Linked DNA regions of Oreochromis niloticus. Each later gene encodes a partner of the first gene's protein in a complex. Links are inferred from orthologs where the notes say so. Each region holds a gene or a part of one and is shown on either strand. Other genes may lie near its edges.

Region 1 (10,409 bases):
TTTCTGACAGTCGGGAGAAGGGGAAAGGGCAGTAGTGATGAAGCCAGTGTCACATGAAGTCCTCATAGTCTTGGGCGTAGCCTCCATCAAACGCTGCATAGTCAAGGTCATCTTTGAGCTGTGCTTTCAAACCTCCAGCTAAGACCGCCTTCTTCTTCTTTTTTCCTTTGTTTTGCTGTAGAAGGCAAATAAAAGCAACTTAAAGTAAATACATATATATTTGGAAATGACTATATAGCTACAAACGTTTGCCAGAGGTTTTTTTTATGTTTGGACATCGAGTAAGTATTGGGTGAGTAGCACCCCCTGCTGAATAGAAACTTAATTTCAGCTAATAGTAAATGCAAGCATGCAGTCACTTACTTTTTCTTGTTTCTGTTTTTCACTAAGTAGGACTGACAGGGAATTACTGATTTTCTTCAAGTCATCTACTTCCACTGTAAGAGGAAGAAAAATAAGTAGTTACTGGACAAGCACAGTGCATTTTAAATTTAAGACAAGTGTAATAAAAAATGTTCCGTAAAAGCAGGAAAAAAAGACTTACATGAAATACAAAGTTCCCGAAACAATGACTCCAAGAAACTTGAATAATGCACAGATTTTTCAAACTGGGTTATCTTTTCTTTTAGCATTTTTTCAAACTCTGTGAAGTCTTCTTTGGAAGATGGACACATGGCATCAATTCCCGTGACACTGTTTGAAGTGCTGCCAACACCTGAAAAGATTTAAAGGTCACCATTACATACATTGATCACAACAAGATGAACAATATCAGGTCTCAAAAATCCCATATCTGTTGTATAAACTTTTGTTAGACATGCTGCAGTTTAAAAAACAAACAAACAAACAAACAAACAAACAAAAAAAACAGTTTACAGCATCAGGAGCACGAAAAACAAATATTTTCCTCAAATCACAGCTTTCCTAAAGCATGTGTAAAGATCTTACTTAAAGCTTCAGCTTTTAGAGTCTACTCTAAACATTTTACAGATAATAGAATGGTGCATTGTTCCTTTGGAGGTGAGGTATAGTATGTGGCATCTACAGCTGAATTACTGGGACATCTGTGTAAAACGTAAAAGCCAAAGGAGTATTTAAGCCTTTTAAGTCTTAGTTAAATGTTAACTACAAGCAACAGCGACTAATGTATTGCAAACTAAATGTATTGCATCAGTTACACAACTTGATTTTGTGGAAGACCTCATGTTCTTGATAAAAAGTTTCTACACCTGATCCGGTCTTACCAAAAGCATCTTTTGCTAGCTCCAAGTCTGCGTCTTCCTGTAATTTCTTCACTCTTAATTTTTCTGCCAGCTGTTCTTCAGGAGTGAGCTGTTCTTCCTGTAAATAAAAATGTAAGAGTTAAGATATTATTAGAGATAAACGAGCATAGAGTCAAAAGGTTTACAGATGAGAAAGTGGGACTTACTTCTTGCTGTTCCATTGCCTCCTGTTGTTTCTTCTTCATCCGGTTTTCTTTCTCTTTTATCTTTTCACTAAGTTTTTTCTTTTCAGAAACCTTTGGCTCTGCAAATTAAAATAATGACATAAGAAAATTAAAATCATTCAGTAATCAAGTATACTCCATTAGTGAAAGGCAAGCGGTACTGGGATACAAACCTGGTTTCTTCACATCTGTTTTTTTCTCTTCATCTTCTTCATCATCGTCCCAGTTGTCCTGTGAACACACAGAACATAATGTGTGTAACTGTTGCCTTTTTATTAATATGTAAGCTAGAAGATGTAAATATATAGACATAGATGTATAATGTAACCAAAAACAAACAAACGACACACATTAATATGGCTTCCCAGAGCCATGCTAAAGCCTTGAAAAGTCTTCTTTTTTTTCTGAGCAACATCTTAACACCTACAGAACTAGACAACTTTAAAAATGTAAGTCAAAGGCTGCAATCAGTCAGAATGTTTATTTTAAAATAACAAAAAATCCAAACTTTTTAAAACATAAAATTATCACTTATCGATATGCAACAGCTGCCACTTCATTTTCTGAAGATGAATAACTTTTGTTCTACCTCTAGTTCAAATTATTCTAGTCCTGATTACACTGGCGTAGATGTATATAAGCTGGATCGATCAACGTTACTGATCCAACAAGGGTAATTACTGTGTTACGGTACCAGGATAAAGAATAAAAATAGTACAGTCTACATTAAAAAACTGAAAGTACCACATGCACACAGTGAGTGCTTAATACTGTGTAATAATGCAGAACTTGTATATATTAAACAGTGATTAAGAATCAAAAAATATAACAACATTAAAGTTTAAGATTCTGTAATTCATGACAATGAGTTACGAGTTATGACATCAGTGTTAATTTATTAATTTATAGGTGATGACTCTTCAGACATCACTGGGGTTGTGATCCTGTAGATTGCTGTCTTATATTAAGATCCACCTTAAGTGTCACTACAAATAAATGTAATCCAATCCAAGAAGATACTAATTTCTAACTGAAATATCCAAGACTTTAAACTGTGAATTACTACACAATAAACATTTGACAACCGGCCTGTTGCATTTCCAGCAGGTTATGAACAACAACAACAGCAGCTCTGGAAATAAATTTAATTATCTTGAGTAAAAATTAACTTTGTGCTATTGTCTGATTTCCACAAAAATCTTAACCCTTCTTCCTAAACAATGACCATTTTGTACTACAGAGGACATAAAACCATCAGGCTCTTCAGTCTGGACGCCATATGCGACAGAAAACGGGAGAACTGAAGAGGCCTCTGCCAGCACTTTCCACAGGATCAATTATCTGAGGCTTCTGGACAGAGACCGTGCCAGTTTTCACGTAGCAGCTACCTGTATTACGGTATCAGCTGAACAGCGGCTTCCTACTGCCTGCTGTAAAGTCGGAAAGTTCCAGGCCTAGTTCTTGGCTGAGTTGAGTCATCAACCCAGTGGATGATTTCATCTGAATGGGGCTAAAGTTGGTTAGCACGCTAACGCCGCCTCATACTCAACGTGACTCAAGCTGTGGGTTTGCCAGAGTAGACATAATTATGCTAATCTCCAATAATCGTTTAATGCAACTAAATCTGTGCAATAATGGGATGGACCTGTATATTAGCAACACATGAACAAATCACTCAATACTGAGGTCACCCAACATTAAAGCCTATTTACAGACGCAACAATACACGAGAGCTAGCAGACTAGCTAGCTCAAGTGGCCCGTCCGGTGAGAGATTAGCTTCAAGCACCGCTATCAAAATTCATGACGCCAAGAGAAGTAGAAAACACTACTAGCGTCCAAAAATTTGATTAAACCTATAAGTATGAACTGGCACGCCGTTATTCAGTTTGTTAACAGTACGTTTGAATGACTGAAACTCGAATACCAGCATACTGTTAGCTGAGCTAGAGTTTCCAGAGGCTGCTTGTTGGAGCCACATGAGTTAGCATAAGCTAACAGGGGTTCGGAGGTTCGGACTGACAGGCGGCGAGAAACCACGACGAAGCGTGGCATTACATCCTGTCGCTTGCTCGGTCAGCTAACAGCTCGCAAACAACCGGTGGCAGATTTTAAAAAGCGGCTCAGACTATACCGAGTGTTCGTCACGATATTTTACCTTAACATCTTCATCTTCGTCCTCGCCTTCCCATTTGTCCAGCGCTGCCGCCTTTTTAATCGGTTCCTCCGGCTCGAAGTTGTCAGCGTCTGTAAAAACAACAACATGAGAGTCGTTAGGTCAGTCCACATCTGACACCTGGAGTTAACAATGAGAGGTGTATTAGGCCCTTAAAACAGCGAGTGCGACAAGTAAATGTTGTACAGATAGCCATCCTTCCCAACTTAGTTTCTCACCCCAGTCCGCCATGTTGGCTGTGTTGCTTGTGTTTGACAGGCTCGCTGTACAGTCAGTGCTGCAGCCCGTTGGCCACGTTCAGAAACAGCTCCCACCTTCTGGGCGGCACTCCGGCCTTATCTAACGTCCACGGAGCACTTTCAGCACAACGACCCCGATACAACTAATCTCATCACGCCTTTATTTATTTCAATTGTAAACATGAGACGCTACAAGCAAGCTGAAGCCAAGTTCCACGCATTTTTAAGTCGAGCATTGTAAAATAAATGTGTTAAAAGTACATTTTACATCATTCTTACATAAAGAGTCAAAACCTATTCTTAATCTCTTTTGGATACATTTGGATACACTACATATTATTTTAACCGAAGAAAAAATAATTAATTAATAGCCTTAATTTAACTGAATCTCATAAGGGAGTATAATAAAGTATATACATTAAAAATTGTTTTTTAATCATTCTTGTCGAGAAAGTGCAGTACCTCAGATGTATGATATTAATGGGAATTGAAATGGAAATGGTGATCAATAATTCCTCAGTGATATATTAAAATAAATAATATTTTTGAAGGATCAAGGTCGAGCTGGAAAGGATGTGCAGCGGGTTAGGGTGACTGAGGATAGAGATGGAAATGTAGTAATGAATAAAGTTTACTGAGAGAGTGGAAAGGCTACTTTGAGGAGCTCATGAATGACGAAAATGAAAGAAAGTTGAGGATGGATGGAGGGCAGTGAATGAGGAAGCAAGGAAAACTATAAATAGGATGAAGAGTGAAAAGGCAGTTGGTCCAGATGACATAACTGTGGAGGAGACATCCGGGAGAGGGGGCAGTGGACCAGATTAGAGAGTGAGAGGATCCCTGGGGGATGGAGAAGAAGTGTACTAGCACCCATTTTTAAAAATAAGAGTGATGTACGACCCCTAAACGAGGCAACCGAAAGAAGAAAAGGAATTCTTTATACGACCCTTGCAAATGTGATTAGTATCCAGTTACCCATTGCAAAAAATCTAGTTTCATACACTCTTTCTGTTTCATCATCAGTGATCATAATTTTGACTTCATTCCTTATTTGCCTGTTACTGAATATGATAGCTGTGATTTATTGATAATTTCAACTACATTCAGAAGCTATTCCAAACCTTTTTTTCCTACGGTATAAACAGAAAAAAAACCTCACAATGAAACCAGAGTTATTATTTATTTGCACACAGTGGTATCTATCAGTGTGGTAACTATTTAACCAGGAATGTGCCACCCCTTTGATACCGTTATCTCCAGCTTTATCTTTAGTAATCTGTCATCTGTAGTGTCAAATGCTTTTTGAATGGTGAACAGAGCTGTGGGTAAAACTACAACAATAACAAGCAATAAAAAGAGCCAATCAGAGGTAGATTGGTTCAGTTTATTGATCATTTAGAGTCATTTTAATCACACCACAAAGTGTGCACAACAGTACAAAACTCACAGCAACAACAGACCAAAGTTGATCAATACTAGTACAATCAGGCCCTACTAGGTATTGTTTTGTAATCAAGATAACTCAAAATAGACAGATATATAGAAAGTGTTATCACTATTACTCACATAAATCTATAGTTCCCCAAAAATAAATAACTTTGTACATTTGCAACAGATTTCTTTCGTAATAACTGCACAACAATTATATTTTAACCTTTATCATTTTTAAGTATTATTTCTAGGTATGGCATCCCTGAGAAGGATATATATGGGAAAGTAAAGTGTTTAGATAGGTTTGTACAAAAATAAATAAATAGTCTAGGATCTGTGGGTATTAGATAGATTTGCTGATTAAAACAAACAGCTCTTACTCTCTCAAACTTTGTTCTTTCACTGCTAAATGTTGATGCTAAAGTAATAGTTATACAAGATCAATTACAGTGTTGCTAAAAAGAGTATGGAAAGCTTTAAATGCTGTTTATTTCAAAGAAATACAGCATTGTGCAGACAGACAATCATCATGTAGAAGAGGGGGTCTCCTGATTCGGCTGGGGTGAACGAGGTCATGTGTCAGGGCAGAGCAGGACGGTCAGCAGCATCAGCAGTCCCGATAAGAGACACAGGGGGCTGTGGCTCAACGCCAACCCCAGTGACCTCCCTGCAGGAATTCAGCAAAAGCATTACAAATGTAGAGCTATGCAAAAATATAGTTCAGGCAGATTCATATCACGGTAGGCACTCTCTCCACACCTAGAGTATCCATGCATAGCATATCTAGCAAGGCATAATGTTCATATGTTAGATAATGTTAGAAAAGAAAGCACACTGGAAACATCTACAAGTACAATGAGAATAAAGTGCTGAAACCAGCAAGGAAACAACAGCAGCTATCGTCAGCCTTGATTTTGGGAGTCAAATTACAGTAATAATTTATACACTCACGGGTCACTTTATTAGGTGTAGCTTGCTAGTACTGGTTTGGTCCCCTTTTGCCTTCAGAACTGCCTTAATTCTTAATTCCTCACAGATTTTGGTCTATACTGACATGATAGCATCACACAGTTGCTGCAGATTTGTTAGCTGCACATCCATAACGCGACTCTCCAGCTTTACCACATCTCAGTGGTGTTCTACTGGATTGAGAGCTGGTGACCTCCTCCTGCTGGAAGCTGCCATCAGAAGATTGTACACTGTGGTCATAATGGGATGGATGTAATGAGCAACAATACTCAGTCAGACTGTGGTGTTTAAATGATCCTCACATGGTACTAAGCGGCTCAAAGTGTGTGGAAAAATGGGCAACAGGAGCAGAAAACTGAGGCTAAAATTCACACGGGGTCATCCAATGGTGTGATAGATATATTTCCGTAGCACACTTTGGGCAGGTTAGTACCAGCTAAGCACACCTACCTGAGTATTGTTGTTGATGTGTCATGTTCACCCCATTATGACCACAGTGTATCCATCTTCCGATGGCTGGTTCCAGCGGGGTAATGCACCATGTCACAAAGCTGAAATCATCTCAAACTGGTTTCTTGAGCATGACAATGAGCTCACTGCACTAAGACACCCTCCACAGACACCAGATCTCAATCCAATGAAGCACCTTTGGGATGTGGTGGAACAGGAGATTGTGCAGTCTGCAGATCTGGAGCAGCTGTATGATGCTATCATGTCAATATGGAGCAAAATCTCAGAGGAATTAAGAAATAAGGCAGTTCTGAAGGCAAAAGTGGATCCAACCTGATACTAGCAAGATGTACCTAAACTAGCATAAAACTTTGGTTAGAGTTTTGATAAGGGCGATTATATTTTCATCAGATAAAGCGATTAATGCATAAAGAAGACAAATCAAGTTTAATGGTCATCAGTGGACAGCACTGATTCAGGTTTTACCTCTGAAGTCTACAGGCTTATCGTCCCAGGGTGTCAGCACCATAGCTAGAGCTGTTTTCTGGAGGTCTGACAGAACAGAGCGCTGGTTATCAGTTACTGCAACAGCCTGCTCGTAGGAGAACATGGCAATCTTTTCCTGGGAGAATACCACCTTTTGAAAACAACAAAAAAAACACGGCGGGTGGGATTTATTTAGAGAGATAAATTAAAGACATGATAAAGATTTGTCAAGATGGACGCAAAAACAGGAATACATTTTTTTTATTGTAAGAAACAAATGTTACTAAAAATTATGTACTTTTTACACATATCTAAGTGTAGTTTAGCTCACCTTGGTATTACAATAATGGGCCCTGACCAGTGAAACTAATCTTTCTGTCAGTGACAAGAAGGTTTACTACCAGTTTAATCTCTGACATAATATACTGTGGTGTAGTATGGATTGCTGTGGGAGAGTTTGTCATTAGCAGGAAATGCTGTAAAAGTTATTACAACACATTTAAAAGTCCAAAATAATATTTCCTCCTTCACATTTTCTAAAGCCGTCCAGTTGGCCGGATTGGAGTCTTTGTTGGTTCATTTCTGGCCCCCGTGCCTTATGTTTAACACCCATGATATGGTTGGTTTAATTAAATCTTGACTCACAGCAAACTTTTCTTGTGGCATCATTGAGATAGCCAAAGGTGCAATTCCCTCAATTTGCTCTTTTACCAGCGCTGACATGGCCATGTCTGGGATACCCACTGAAAAACAAGCAAAATGTTCCAGTGAAACAGAGCAAAGGGTGCTAGAATCAATGAATCAAATGCTTTTACAGCAAAGCATAGAGGAAAACAAAATGTCTTTGATTTAAATCTCTGACCTGACCACACATTAAGGCAGATGTAGGACTATGCATAGTACATCTAAAATTCATGTGGCAAAGACAATGAATAGACAATACCTGCCAGGACTCCGATCTCAATGAACACATCGGTGCCCCAGGAACTCATGAGTCCAAAAGCGAGGCTGTGGGTTAGCAGTTCAACAAGAGCTTGCAGCTGCTCCTCTGAGCAGGACAGCCTGAGCCGACCCAGCCTGAGAACCGCCTTACTGCAGCCATCAGAGGGAGACAAAGTACAAAGTAAATTCAAGTGTCAAGCTGGGCTTGAAAAAAAATTTAAGCATTTTCCGATACTGTGCGCACCTGAGCTCTATAGGATTGAAAGACCTCATCTCTGTGGCTTTAGCGCCACACACAATGTATCCCATTGCCACCAGAGTGCTGGAGTCAAGCTGGCTCGGATTCTGCTTGGTGGAGCTTAACACGGTAGAAAACAGTGTGGCCAGCTAGGACGACAACAAGTTATAAACCAGTCTAATACAGCACAGTAATGCCACAGCTGGTATTATTCTTATCAGATGAAATAAAAACTGCCCAAAAGACAAAGCAATTTTGATGTAACATGTAAATATTTGAGCTGCAGTGACTAAAGTACTTACCTGTCTGCTATTCCAGTCACTGACTGTGCCCAGAGCGGCAATGCTTCTCCGCTCAGTCAGTCGAATGGCATTCAGCTCGTCTAATGATAGCTGTGTCGCTATTACACCGAGCTGAGAGATGACAGCCTGGGAGAAGGAGGAGACTGGGCCATATATCTTCATGTATTAGCATTAATACAGAGAGGCCCGGAGCAAAGACAGAGCAGAGACAATATGAAGACCTGAAAACTTTGGTAATCATCAAATGAAACACATGTAAGAGGTTTTTGTTGGACTGACTCAGATTAACAATCAGTCTGACCTGTTTGACTCTCCTGAGCACTTCAGTGCGTTGGTAGGATGCAAGGAACGGGTCGTGACCCATCAGCTCCAGACAGTTGGAGAAGGCAGATGAAGACATGCTAGTCAAACTGCTGGAGAGCCAAACGGAGGGGGCTGTTGTATGCAAAATCTCACAAGTAGGAACCATTGGAGTCACTGGCCAGCAAAACACACAAACACATGATCAGGAGATTATCTATGAAAATGGGTCAGCAATGTAACCATGGCTTAGTTTGAAGTTGTCAAGGTTTTTGGTTTTCTGAAAAGTATTAGCCAAAGTCTTTCTGAACAATTTAATTCAAGAAGCTCATTTTCACTGTTAGAAGATCAGTTCTGCTGCTATAAAAGTCAATTTGCAAAGAAATTCATATGCACAAATGTACTGCGCTTTCAGCTGTACCAAACGACTATAATGCAATCAATGTTTAGAAGTATAACAAGTCCCCCAAAACAATGGTTGGGTTAATAACTCAGTTTTTTGGGACCACTGTTTCAGTTCATTTTCCAGTCCTTACTTAGAGGGGATAAAACAATTTTTTTTTCATCAAGCCTGGTCACGTGATCGGATTATAAACAAAAAATAAACATTATCATTCTGATGTATTACCAATTCACTTACTACCTTATTCATACTTAATAAACAGCTTCACAAAGCTATATTAACTACCCCACTGCCTATTTTTCATTCATTCATTTTGCCCCCCCCCCCAGTATGACTGCATAACAGACTATATAGACTTTACATAGCATAAAAAGCTGAAAGAAAAGGTGGATGGTTTTTTTTTCCTAATTTCCTACTTTAATTAAAACAAGGCAAACTTTTATATATTCTATATTAATTATGTGGGAAGTGAACTTTTGAGAAAGTGTTTTTTTGTTAAATTGATTATTATTAATTATGTCTTTCAGCCCATGAAAATTAGAAATGCAAGCTCAATGAAAGAAAGATTTACGATACTGAAATGTCTAAATTCTGGAAAAATCTGCTCATTTATAACACTCAGTTCTTGGCTTGGGCTCCTTAAACACAAATTTGTGCAGCAGGGCGCAGTGTGGTATGGAAACAGCCAGCTCATCTCACTGCTGCATTGTTATTGAAGTTCAGGTTGCTTTGATAGCAGCCTTCAGCTTTGTGTGTATTTTTGGATCGGGTTTTTTTCGTCTTCCTCTTGACAATAACAGATTCTCTGTGGGGTTCAGGTCAGGTAGGCGAGCACAATAATAACAAAATCAGCAAAGCATTTGGTTTGAACAGGTAGGTGCTGAGTTCAGTTTGAAAAGGAAATTTGAATTTCCATTAAGCTTGTCAGCAGATGGAAGCATTAAGTGTCCTAAAATCTTCAGGTATCTCTGCGATGACTTTGGACACAGTGGACCAACCATCACCAACACCAGCAGATTATAGAGTA
Region 2 (9,931 bases), on another chromosome or scaffold:
CAGGTGACAAGAACTTGGGACAGGCAAAGCTGAACAGCTCCTCGAACACCTGCAGATCTCTGAGATGGTAAAAGTAACATTTGTGTCAAAAGAAATGTTTGAGGCTACGAGCACAAATGCTGATGAAGTCATACATTACTGATTCCATATCCCATAAGCAAAGCTCCACATTTTATATAACATTCTACATAATACAAAATCATAACAGTAAAACAGAAAAGGACTGACGCACAACTTAAACAAATATGTTGTAAAGCAAGGCAGTGAGTGTAGGTCTTACCCCTTTTGCATGCGGAGCATCTTATCTCCGTACTTCTCCCTCAGCTGGGTGTGGATGCTCTCGTCGATGCGCATCGGGTACATGGTCAGAGCGATAGCCAGCAGGCCGTGCATCTGCTCATTTTGTTTGTTAATCTGAAGAAAACATACAGGTATTATGACACCTGTTCCGAACATAATACTGTTTGATCATCCAACACAATGAGAGTGCCTGATTATTATTCATGTGTCAAAGCGTTTTAAAGCAAATCAACGCATCCCAAATGTTACTGTCTGAAGTTCTCTCACCATGTTCTGTACAGACATAAGTAAAAGAACCCACAGCTAAAGATAAGACAATGTCTAAAAACCACTGCTGTTACTGACCATCTCATATTTATACGTTGACCTCTGGAACATGTTTCTTGTTCTCTGGATATAGAGCAGGATGTTAGCAAAGACTCGAATGGCATCCTGGTAGCGCCTCATCATAAGGTAGGCAAAACCCACATAGTAATATGTGGTGATTTGGCACTCTGGAACACGCGAGTACATACTCTGAAAGACAGGCAAAAGAAAATATGCAGAAATATGAATTACAGAGCAAACGAGCAGTTTCTTTTTTTAATGTTTAATTTCAACAGATCAACCAAACTTTTTTATTTGTGGCTACAAAGGTTGATTTAACAAAAACTTTGAGATGAAATGAACTATTTGACTCTGTGCTACTGAAGAACTGAGAACTTTGAATTATGTATTTACTTTACAATGTTAGTATCATAATTGTTATTCATTGTTAATGTGTCAGGTAAATTAATGAGTTCCTTCTTTTTTACTGCAACTTCACTTTGCCCACATTAAATTTCATGAGCATAAAGACTGATAAAGCAGAAACTGTGCTGAGTCAAATTATCAAAAGAATCCTCGGAGAATATCGTTTGTTTGATTTAAATTAAAAACATCAGTATCTGTCAGCATTGTATCAAACCTTCTAGGACAAGAGGAAACAACAACATATTTCCATATAGACACCCAATCCTAGCGCTCATCATCACCATTGGAGCAGACCAGACCTCTCTATACATGAGGTCTTAAATAAGGTCGTACCTTCTTATTGAGCTCAATGTTCTCCAGGACTTTGATGGCCTGGTAATAGTCACCAAGCAGAGAGTGAAGCCTCAAAAGCCCGACCAAGCTGAAGTAACCCAACATCTTGTACAGGGAGTGACGTCCATATTCTCCAGCCACGCTTTCTGGGTCTCCTGCATTACAAGAACACATAACATGTTCACGACCTATACAATCCTGGATTTTAAAGCCTTAAATTGACATAATTCAAGATTTTAAAGTAATTAGGTTTCTAGAAACACTCCATCTTTTCTATAAATATCATAAAAAACACTGTTCTTTACCTCCACTCGTGTAGACCTCAAGCTGACGGTTGATGTTGCTCTTGTCCACCAGGGAGTGGAGAACATTGAGGACACTGTGGACGTTCCAGATCTTCGGATTGCTCCTCAGGAATTCAATTTCCTCTTCAGACTTTTTGGCTGTCTTACAGCGGTACTGACTGAATGACTGAAACTGAAGGTGGAAGAGATGTCTGTTAGTGGATTTTAAATATGCTTTCTAGCCACGTGGACTAGTGATCATTAAAGACCACGAATATCTTCATTAATATGTCACCTATCTGGTGCTTAAAGCAATGATAACATTAACAACAACAGCTATCAGCCCTTTTCTTTATTTTGATCTTATTGATTGTTGAGCATGCACTCTAAAAACACTGTAATGTACCTGGTAGATAAACTCATCAATGATGTCCCAGAGCCACTGGTTTGGCAGCTCCAAGGGGGCCGGCCCATCAGCATCTGTTTAGAGTCAACAATGATCTCATTAAGCTGCTGTTCTTGCACTAACAACAACGGGTAAGAGAAAATGTATGGACAATTTGTGCTACTTACTGAGAATGTAGTTGAAGAGGTTGCAGTAATTGTAGTAGGACTCAAATCTCTGGTCCAAAGTTGGTCCACCCTGATTATACAGAAAATACTTTTTTCAACCAAATTCTAGAAAGTTTTTTGGACACTGATAAAAAAGACCCAGACAACTGTTCATATTTAGCAGCTACTCACGCTGACTTTAGCGTAGATGTGTCTGTAATAGAGTTCCTTGTAGAGAATGAGAAACACGGCATCTGCAAAACACAAGAGACAAAAACAACATGAAACATCTCCACTGAACCACACAAAGGAGGCCTAAAACTTTTATAAAATCTTAAATATACAAAATAAATAATAATAATAATCTTAAGCGGTGCAAGTTTATCTTTTTTTTTTTTAAATCACACTCAAACAATAAAGAATAAAAATGATACTATCCATACAAAATCAAAAGTAGAACAAGTAATGGATAACGCTCTCACCATTGCCAACAAGTGATGCAATGGCCTCAGCCTCTGGCCAGGGAGAGGTCTTGAAGAAACGGTCAGTCAACTTGTTCCAGCTGAATGGGCAAGAGCATGAAAAGGTCAGCATATTAATCTCACACGGTGTGAGAGTTATGTGCACAGAGTTAACTTTACCTGTTTTCATAGACGTCCTGGATCTCGTAGATCTTCTGCTCAATGCTCTCACTAGACACCCGGTTGGACTGCAGCTCATAAACCTTCTGGTCAATCAAGTCAGAGATGGTTTTGTGGAAATACTGCAGAAAGTTCTTGATCACCTCTGGGATGACATGGTAGGTCTGCTGCTCATACTGCCTCTCGTAGGCAAGGTCTGCTTTAGGGTCACCTGCAAGGAAAATTAAAAGAATATCCTTTACTCTCCTCTAAAAGTTACTTATGTTGTGTATGTTTGTGTCTGTGTGTTATACACTGACTGACTAAACAAGAGGATTGTATCTGTAAATATTGATAGTATGAGTATAAAAGGGATGGTTATTTGTATACTTACCAGTGTGCAGATCGTAGTCGTTTGTGTAGGAGTAAGGATCGTACTGTAAGGAAACAAAGCAATCGGGCATTTGTTACTGATACAGCATCTGATATTGATACATCTGCCCAGCGAGAAGCGACCAACTGATCGATTATATAGCGATATTTTATAATAATAAAAATGCACTAAAAAGAGTTACAGACAATTAGCTAGTTGTCCAGGTTGCATTTTCTTAAAGCAGGGGTTAAGAGTAAATTTATATCACACTAACTCATTGAAGCCACTGTTATACTATGCCGGTGGAGTCGAGCTAGCTACACAGCTACCTAGCTAACAGTGTGTGTTACCTAGCTAACAGTGTGCCATTGTTATTGTAGTCAAAACGTTAAAATGTCTGAAGGAGTAAATGTGTACTTACATCCTCTTCGTCGTGGTATGACATTGTATTAGCTATTAGTTCAAGCTAGTTTAGATGCTGGAGTGAAAAAGGAGAATGTATGCTCAATTAGCTACCGCCGCTAAACCACGCAGCTGGCGGTGGAGAGACGAGAAGAAGCGGAAGGAAGTAGCTGTGACGTAGGAGTGACACGCATTGTTATTGGAGCACTGTGGGAAATTGAGTTTGTTGTTCACCAAGAGAAACACTCGATTCTCAAACTTTCGCATGTCTCCTCTAAAAGCCATTTCAAACAAAAAAAGATGTAGAGGGTGGTGAATTTAAAAACGAATAGCCATTTCTTTCCACGTTTTTTCTTCTTAAGTTTCTCGTAGGGAATGATACCTATGTAACTGAGAACAAGAGCAAGCTAGGGCTCTGATTAGGGTTTCATAAATGTATTTTATGAACCTCATTGTTTTGCTAGTGTCTGTTCGTGACACGGCATCTGTGTATTTGTTTACAGCTGTGCTTTTTACTCACCATAATGTATTGTAAAGATGTCTAATGATACTAATTAGGCTACACCAGTTTTGACCAAACATATATTCGGGAAACAAACGGACTCTTGGCGAGAAATACCTTTCTACTGAAGGGGTTCTTGTGCAGGTACTGAAAAACAAACAACCAAGAGGAACAGATATAATTTGATATAGGCCCTATGTTCTTATTTGTCAAGTTTCTTTGATTCCTGCACAAAAAAATGTATGTTGAAAACTCAGCCTAATTTTTCTCGTGGAGAATAAAATAAACTTGTGGAGAATACGTTACGCAGAGTTCTGGCAAACGCAAAAGTCCGAACTGATGTGTAGAATTTCGAAATCCCCGACAGCTATTTGACCATATGGAGTGTATTGAGCAGACTGTGAAGACTATCATCTACCATTAGGTGGCGTTATAGTCGTAGTGGGACGCTCTGAAACGTTGCACTAGTGGCCGTGGACTCGGCGAATGGAGAGTTATTGGGAAGAAATTGCAAACTGGTTCGTGCTCATACAGCATATAGTTACAAAGCTGAGAAAGGTTTAATACAATATGGCCAATAAATATGCTATTTTGTCTTATATGTGTGATCAAAGGGACATATTGTTAGATTATTTTACTTTTGCCAAAATATTTGTTATTCTAGGCGCCGCTTGTTTTTTTAATCTGTATTGTGTGAAACTCAGGGGCTTGTCTAACTTTGTTTTGAGAATTGTATATAGCCGTATAATCAAAACTTTAAATGTGATTGTGTATGCGTCCATCAGAACGAAAATTTATTTGCTGATCCACCTAGCAGACACTTTCTGACCCCTTCCTGCGTTTTCTCTTCACTGGGGTTGAGCATCCTCACACCACTTTCTTACGTAAAGAAAAGAATACCTGACGTGTTTGACTCAACTACCAGCAGCTGACGGCGTAAGCTTACGCCTACCTGACTGACTACCGGCTGGGGAACCGCCTGCATCCGATAAGGGATCTAGTCCACAGAATCAAGTGTAGCAGAAAGGGGGTGTGGAGAAACGAAGTTGAGTTAAAGAGAGGGAGAAAGAGACACCGAGGGAGGGGAAAAGGTCAGGGACACGGGGGGGTTTATCGGACTGCCAGAAATAAGGAGCGTGTCTACACAAACGGGCTGGCAGACGAAACCAAGGAAACGACGTGAAATACACCACCGACCCCCAGTGACTTCTTCGAAAGGACTGGTGCGGATTTTAAACTATTTTTGACTTTTCCCATAGACAGTTTTGCGCCTAGGTGAACTCCTACCAACACGATTTTGGACCGCGCGTAATTTGGAGAGTATATTACCACGCTGCGTCAGGATGCGCATCTGTCCACTGCTGGTCTTCCTCTGTCTACAGTGCGCTGGAGGCGTTCAGAAGTTCTCCGCTCTCAGGGTATGAGGAGGCACTTAACTCCCGGAATGAATGTCATTCAATTTCATGAGTAAAAGATGTTTTAAATGGAAAGGATGTGCATGTGCTTTCTATGAATAAAATTCCAAAATTCACAATCTGGAAAATATTTTTAATATAAAAGAAATAGTTCCTACGCACCCTTTTCTTAAAAGTCAAGCTTCTTGTGATCTATTTAGTCTAAGAATCTGAAATAATAAAATATTCAATACCGATAATGACGCATTTGAAGTCAATTACTACTACACTCTGCCACATTCTTACACTGAAGTCTGAGTCTGAGGTTATCTCACTCTAAAAGAAGTGGGCTGTATTAGTTGAATGTTTTATATGTGGCAGAAATCCATTTTAGAGCTCAAGAGAGCATCAAGTAGAGCTGTGCACGGAGAAAATGGCTCTGTGTTTTTTGTCAGTCATGTAAACTGAGCGCCACAGCTTTTCAGAGTGTTGGCACAGCAAAGGCTATAGGTTTGTAAGCAGTTGGCTGGTGTGCAGCAGATCCTTTGCAGGTTTGGTTTTGCTGCTGTAACCTGCCTGCCAGCTTCTCGGCTCTGCTGCCTTTCTGTCTGGTTTGCTCCTGTTGTTCTAGTTGCTCTTCAGAGGCTGAGCTGCCGGGATCTTCTGCATTAAAGCACATGGCATTGTTTACAGCAGCATCCTCTCCATCTTACATTAAACTCTGACAGAAAGTGCATCTTCTGGGGAATTTCATGGCCATGATCAAGTGCAGGTACAGTGGTAAAGGACACTTAATAGAGAGTGGAATGTGCATTGTCAGAGGCTCCCCCTTTTGATTTAGAGGCTGATGTGACAGCCACCTCTCCCAGCACCAGTATTTATGGTTCTGGAGAAGATGCCTCGGTATCCAATTGGAAACAAATGGCCATGAGTTGTTAACCTTCAGGTGAAGGGTCGGAGATCCTTTCTCCCTGACGGCACTACAGAGTTGTGGAATGTGGGAGGAAGCGTTGTACTGGGCAGATGCTTCACTGAGTTGATACACACAAACACACACACAGACCAAGGCTACAGATAATTAGTGTGAGGAGTATTTCTCTATATGTGACATGGTTGATACCATTTACCTGTCATTTAATAGAAAGGTTACACGGGTGTAGCTGTGTTTGTGGTTGTTTGGATATGACACATTATCTGCTGTGCTCTGGAGACGAGTGTAAGAACGAGAAACTTCTCTACTTTGTTGCGTGCCTCAGTTTAATTTTGTTTCATATTGTGTGCCATACCTCCCAACACGGGCTAATCAGACTGTCTTTAGTAGTATAACTTTCTTTTACAAAGAAGGTTGCAAGTGATTAATGGCTTATTGTTTAACATATACAGGAGAGACCATTACTGGTTAAAAGAAAATGTCTTCATGTTATATTTTGTGCATATTTGAGGTCAGACAGGCAGTTAAATATATGAGATATTTGCCCAGGGTTATTCATGAGACCGATTTTTTCCATTGTTTATGGAAATATGAAATAGTGTGTGAGAAGATGAGGGCACACAGAATAGTGGCTGCCTCATTTTCAAATCTTTATGTAGAATTTTTGATCTAACACGGGCCCTGCTGCCCCCCAAGTGCTTTCCTAAAATTTTCCACCTGCTCAAAGAGGCGGGTTTCTTTATCACATGACTACCACTAGCCTTTTGCAACACCTCCTTTTCTTTTTAACATCTCTCAAAGCAATTAAATCCCTTTTTCCTTTGATTGAGTTAGTAGGCTGGTTAAAGGCTGACACTTTCTTCCCTTTCCACCATGCTGGAAACTAATGATCCCCTTTGCATCCTAGCATCCACGCAGGAAACTCCCGGCAAGGGCATTTAACACGTTTGCCACAGCTCTCAGCTGGGGCCCCCATTGACCCTGTGGGGCTGTGGTGTGAGGGGCCTCTCAAGGCGCTGGAAGCAGGGGCCTCCCAGCCCAGAAGGCTCTTATCAGCCTACAATGCGCTCTCTGCTGGAGGTTCGCCTCCTCCATACCCCATTCAATCCCACAATGCCGTCGAGCCAGGGGGAGGTAATAGGATTTGATTTGTATGCTGGTTGATCTTAGAAAAAAAATTTCCCTTACACTCCACCCGCCTCGCCCTCTCTTGCCTGTCTCTTGTTCTTTTGCCAACCTTCTGTATTATTAGAGCAGATGCAAAAAGCATCTTCCAAGAGAGATCCCACAAAGAACAAAAGAAAAAAAAAATCACGAGAGGCCAAATAAAGAGAAAGGCAAACAGAGAAAGTGAGCGCCAGATGTCTGCAAGTAGACGGGAGTGGGATTTGAGCAATAAATTGATTTGAGTCAAAATGCGTGTTCAGACTTGCACGAGTCTCCTTTTATGATAATTCAGGGTGGAAGTCTGTGCCGCATGTAGCTGAGGCAGAGGCCATCCATCACTCTCCACCATATTCCTGTGCAGGATGATGGTGTCGACTCGGAGAGGCTGGAATGAGACATCAGGGGAGTGTCGGGGCTCTGCCTCAGCCTCACCCATCCATCACCACAGGCAAAAAACACACAGAGATCTGTAGCAGAGAGCTAACTACAATTAGGTGTACACAGGAGGAAGAAGCCCTCAAAGCACCATTAGTCTCTGAAGTTTCTTCCTCTCCCTCACTTTCACATCTTATTTGTTTGCACTTCCTTCAGTGTGGCCAACTTTGAAACGGCTTAGAAATAAATATTCGGATGTCTGAAACTGAGTCTGGGTGGTTGATTTCATGGGTGGCTGATTTCATGATTTCAACTGTGTTTTTCCATGCTGCGTTCTTGGAGCTTCACTGTAAACTTGCTGGAGCTTGGCACTATGCTGTGTGTGCTGGAGAGCAGACTTCTAGCAGGATGCTGGGCCGCTGAATGACTCTGTTTGCGATGTCAGTCTGCTGGCTGGCAGGGGCTAATGCTGGTGTAGTGGGAGTACATTGGCTGTGGCAAGTGCTGGACAGTCACCACCAAGTGGGGTTGGATGCTCTAAGACACCATCAGTGTAGTAACTGGCTTCAGAACTGTCTGTATGTGAAGGGGGAGCTATGAGAGACTTTCGGTGTTGAATAAGTATGCCCTCCTTACCTGTGTGTGAAGCTAGTAGCACTGGAGAGAAGAGGAACAGAAGGGAGGATTGTACTAATGGGACTCTGTCAGTTAAATGCAATGATGCAAATAATTCAAACAGCTGAGAGATACAATGAGGGAGTAGGGGCAGGACATGTACGATCTTGTGTTTATCAAGAGAGCGAGCCAAACACATAAGCAACCAAAAATAGAAACTCTTAAGTGTTTAGTTGAAGACAAAAAGTGCAGATGTTTGTTTCAAATTCAGTCTTGATTTCACTAACATGTTATGAACAGGAATCTTCTGCACAGATCAATTACATTCAGTTTCATTCATATAGCACCAAATTATAACAACCATCACCTCATGGTGGAGAGAAAACTCCAACAATCAGACCAACTCTCCATTAGCAAGCACTTGGCAACATTGGGAAGGAAAAACTCCTTTTTAGCAAGAAGAAATCTATGGCAGAACCAGGCAGCCATCCGCCACAACTGGTTGGGGATAAGGGGAGGAAGACAAGACAAAGGACACGCTGTGGAAGAGTGCCAGAGATTGATAATAACTAATGATTAAGTGCAAAGTGGTGTATAAACAGAGTTAGAAGATGTGAGAGGAGGAAATGTTCAATGCATCATTGGAAGCCCCCAGGAGTCTAGGCCTACAGCAGCACAACTAAGAGAGGGTTCAGGGTCCAGATCCAGTCATAACTATAGGATTCATCAAAAAGGAAAGTTTTAAGCCTGATCTTAAAAGTAGAAAGGGATCCAAAGTGGGAGCTTTTTTCACAGAAGAGGGGCCTGAACGCTGAAGGTTCTGCCTCCCATTCTACTTTTAAATATCTTAAGAACATCAGAGCTTGGAGTCTGACAGCAAAGTGTTCTATATTGATCAGGGATCAATTAGAGAGAGCAAACATATAATGGGTAATTTCTCCAGTTCTGCCTTAAAAGGATAACTGTTTGATGATTTGTGACATGTTATTACAGACAGTAAGACCTCTTGTTTCTTGTTTTCAGAACAACAGACTATAAATGAATGTAGCCCCAGAAATCAGTTCATCTCCTCTCCTCTCCTCTACATTGGGACACTGTATAAAGCTCCTTGTCTTCCTCGTGACTCGTGACAGTGTTATGCTTACCCTTCGAAAATTTTTGATTCATTCCAACATATTCATCTTCCCCCTCTCAGCTCCTTCTAATGTGTTTGAACGGGCCTACCATCTCTGATCTACCCATTGGGAGATTTATGAGCATGGTTGACAGAGTGTATCTGTGTACCCCCCAACCCCCACCCCTCCCTCCCACTGGCCCAGGGCAACTTTACCTTACCTGTTAACCCTCTTCC

The links. The genes of interacting proteins can lie anywhere in the genome.
Region 2: eif3jb (region 1) and eif3s6ip share a complex: the UniProt entries of both Homo sapiens proteins name them as parts of the eukaryotic translation initiation factor 3 (eIF-3) complex. The link is inferred for Oreochromis niloticus from reciprocal best matches to the Homo sapiens genes EIF3J and EIF3L.

The regions. Positions count from the first base shown.
Region 1 is NC_031965.2:18,809,064-18,819,472, forward strand, and holds the start of eif3jb (eukaryotic translation initiation factor 3 subunit J-B), read right to left. Parts: upstream 3,997-10,409; 5' UTR 3,854-3,996; coding exon 3,841-3,853; intron 3,694-3,840; coding exon 3,605-3,693; intron 1,679-3,604; coding exon 1,621-1,678; intron 1,528-1,620; coding exon 1,430-1,527; intron 1,342-1,429; coding exon 1,245-1,341; intron 716-1,244; coding exon 545-715; intron 438-544; coding exon 364-437; intron 176-363; coding exon 50-175; 3' UTR 1-49. Other genes in the region: strc1 (stereocilin), read right to left, coding at 5,865-5,959, 7,198-7,348, 7,843-7,940, 8,141-8,289, 8,384-8,526, 8,680-8,835, 8,981-9,156. UniProt on the Homo sapiens protein: Component of the eukaryotic translation initiation factor 3 (eIF-3) complex, which is required for several steps in the initiation of protein synthesis.
Region 2 is NC_031978.2:25,122,605-25,132,535, forward strand, and holds the start of eif3s6ip (eukaryotic translation initiation factor 3 subunit L), read right to left. Parts: upstream 3,777-9,931; 5' UTR 3,640-3,776; coding exon 3,616-3,639; intron 3,259-3,615; coding exon 3,216-3,258; intron 3,054-3,215; coding exon 2,843-3,053; intron 2,764-2,842; coding exon 2,684-2,763; intron 2,456-2,683; coding exon 2,394-2,455; intron 2,293-2,393; coding exon 2,223-2,292; intron 2,130-2,222; coding exon 2,056-2,129; intron 1,843-2,055; coding exon 1,671-1,842; intron 1,521-1,670; coding exon 1,366-1,520; intron 817-1,365; coding exon 646-816; intron 415-645; coding exon 281-414; intron 60-280; coding exon 1-59. Other genes in the region: smoc2 (SPARC-related modular calcium-binding protein 2), read left to right, coding at 5,442-5,516. UniProt on the Homo sapiens protein: Component of the eukaryotic translation initiation factor 3 (eIF-3) complex, which is required for several steps in the initiation of protein synthesis.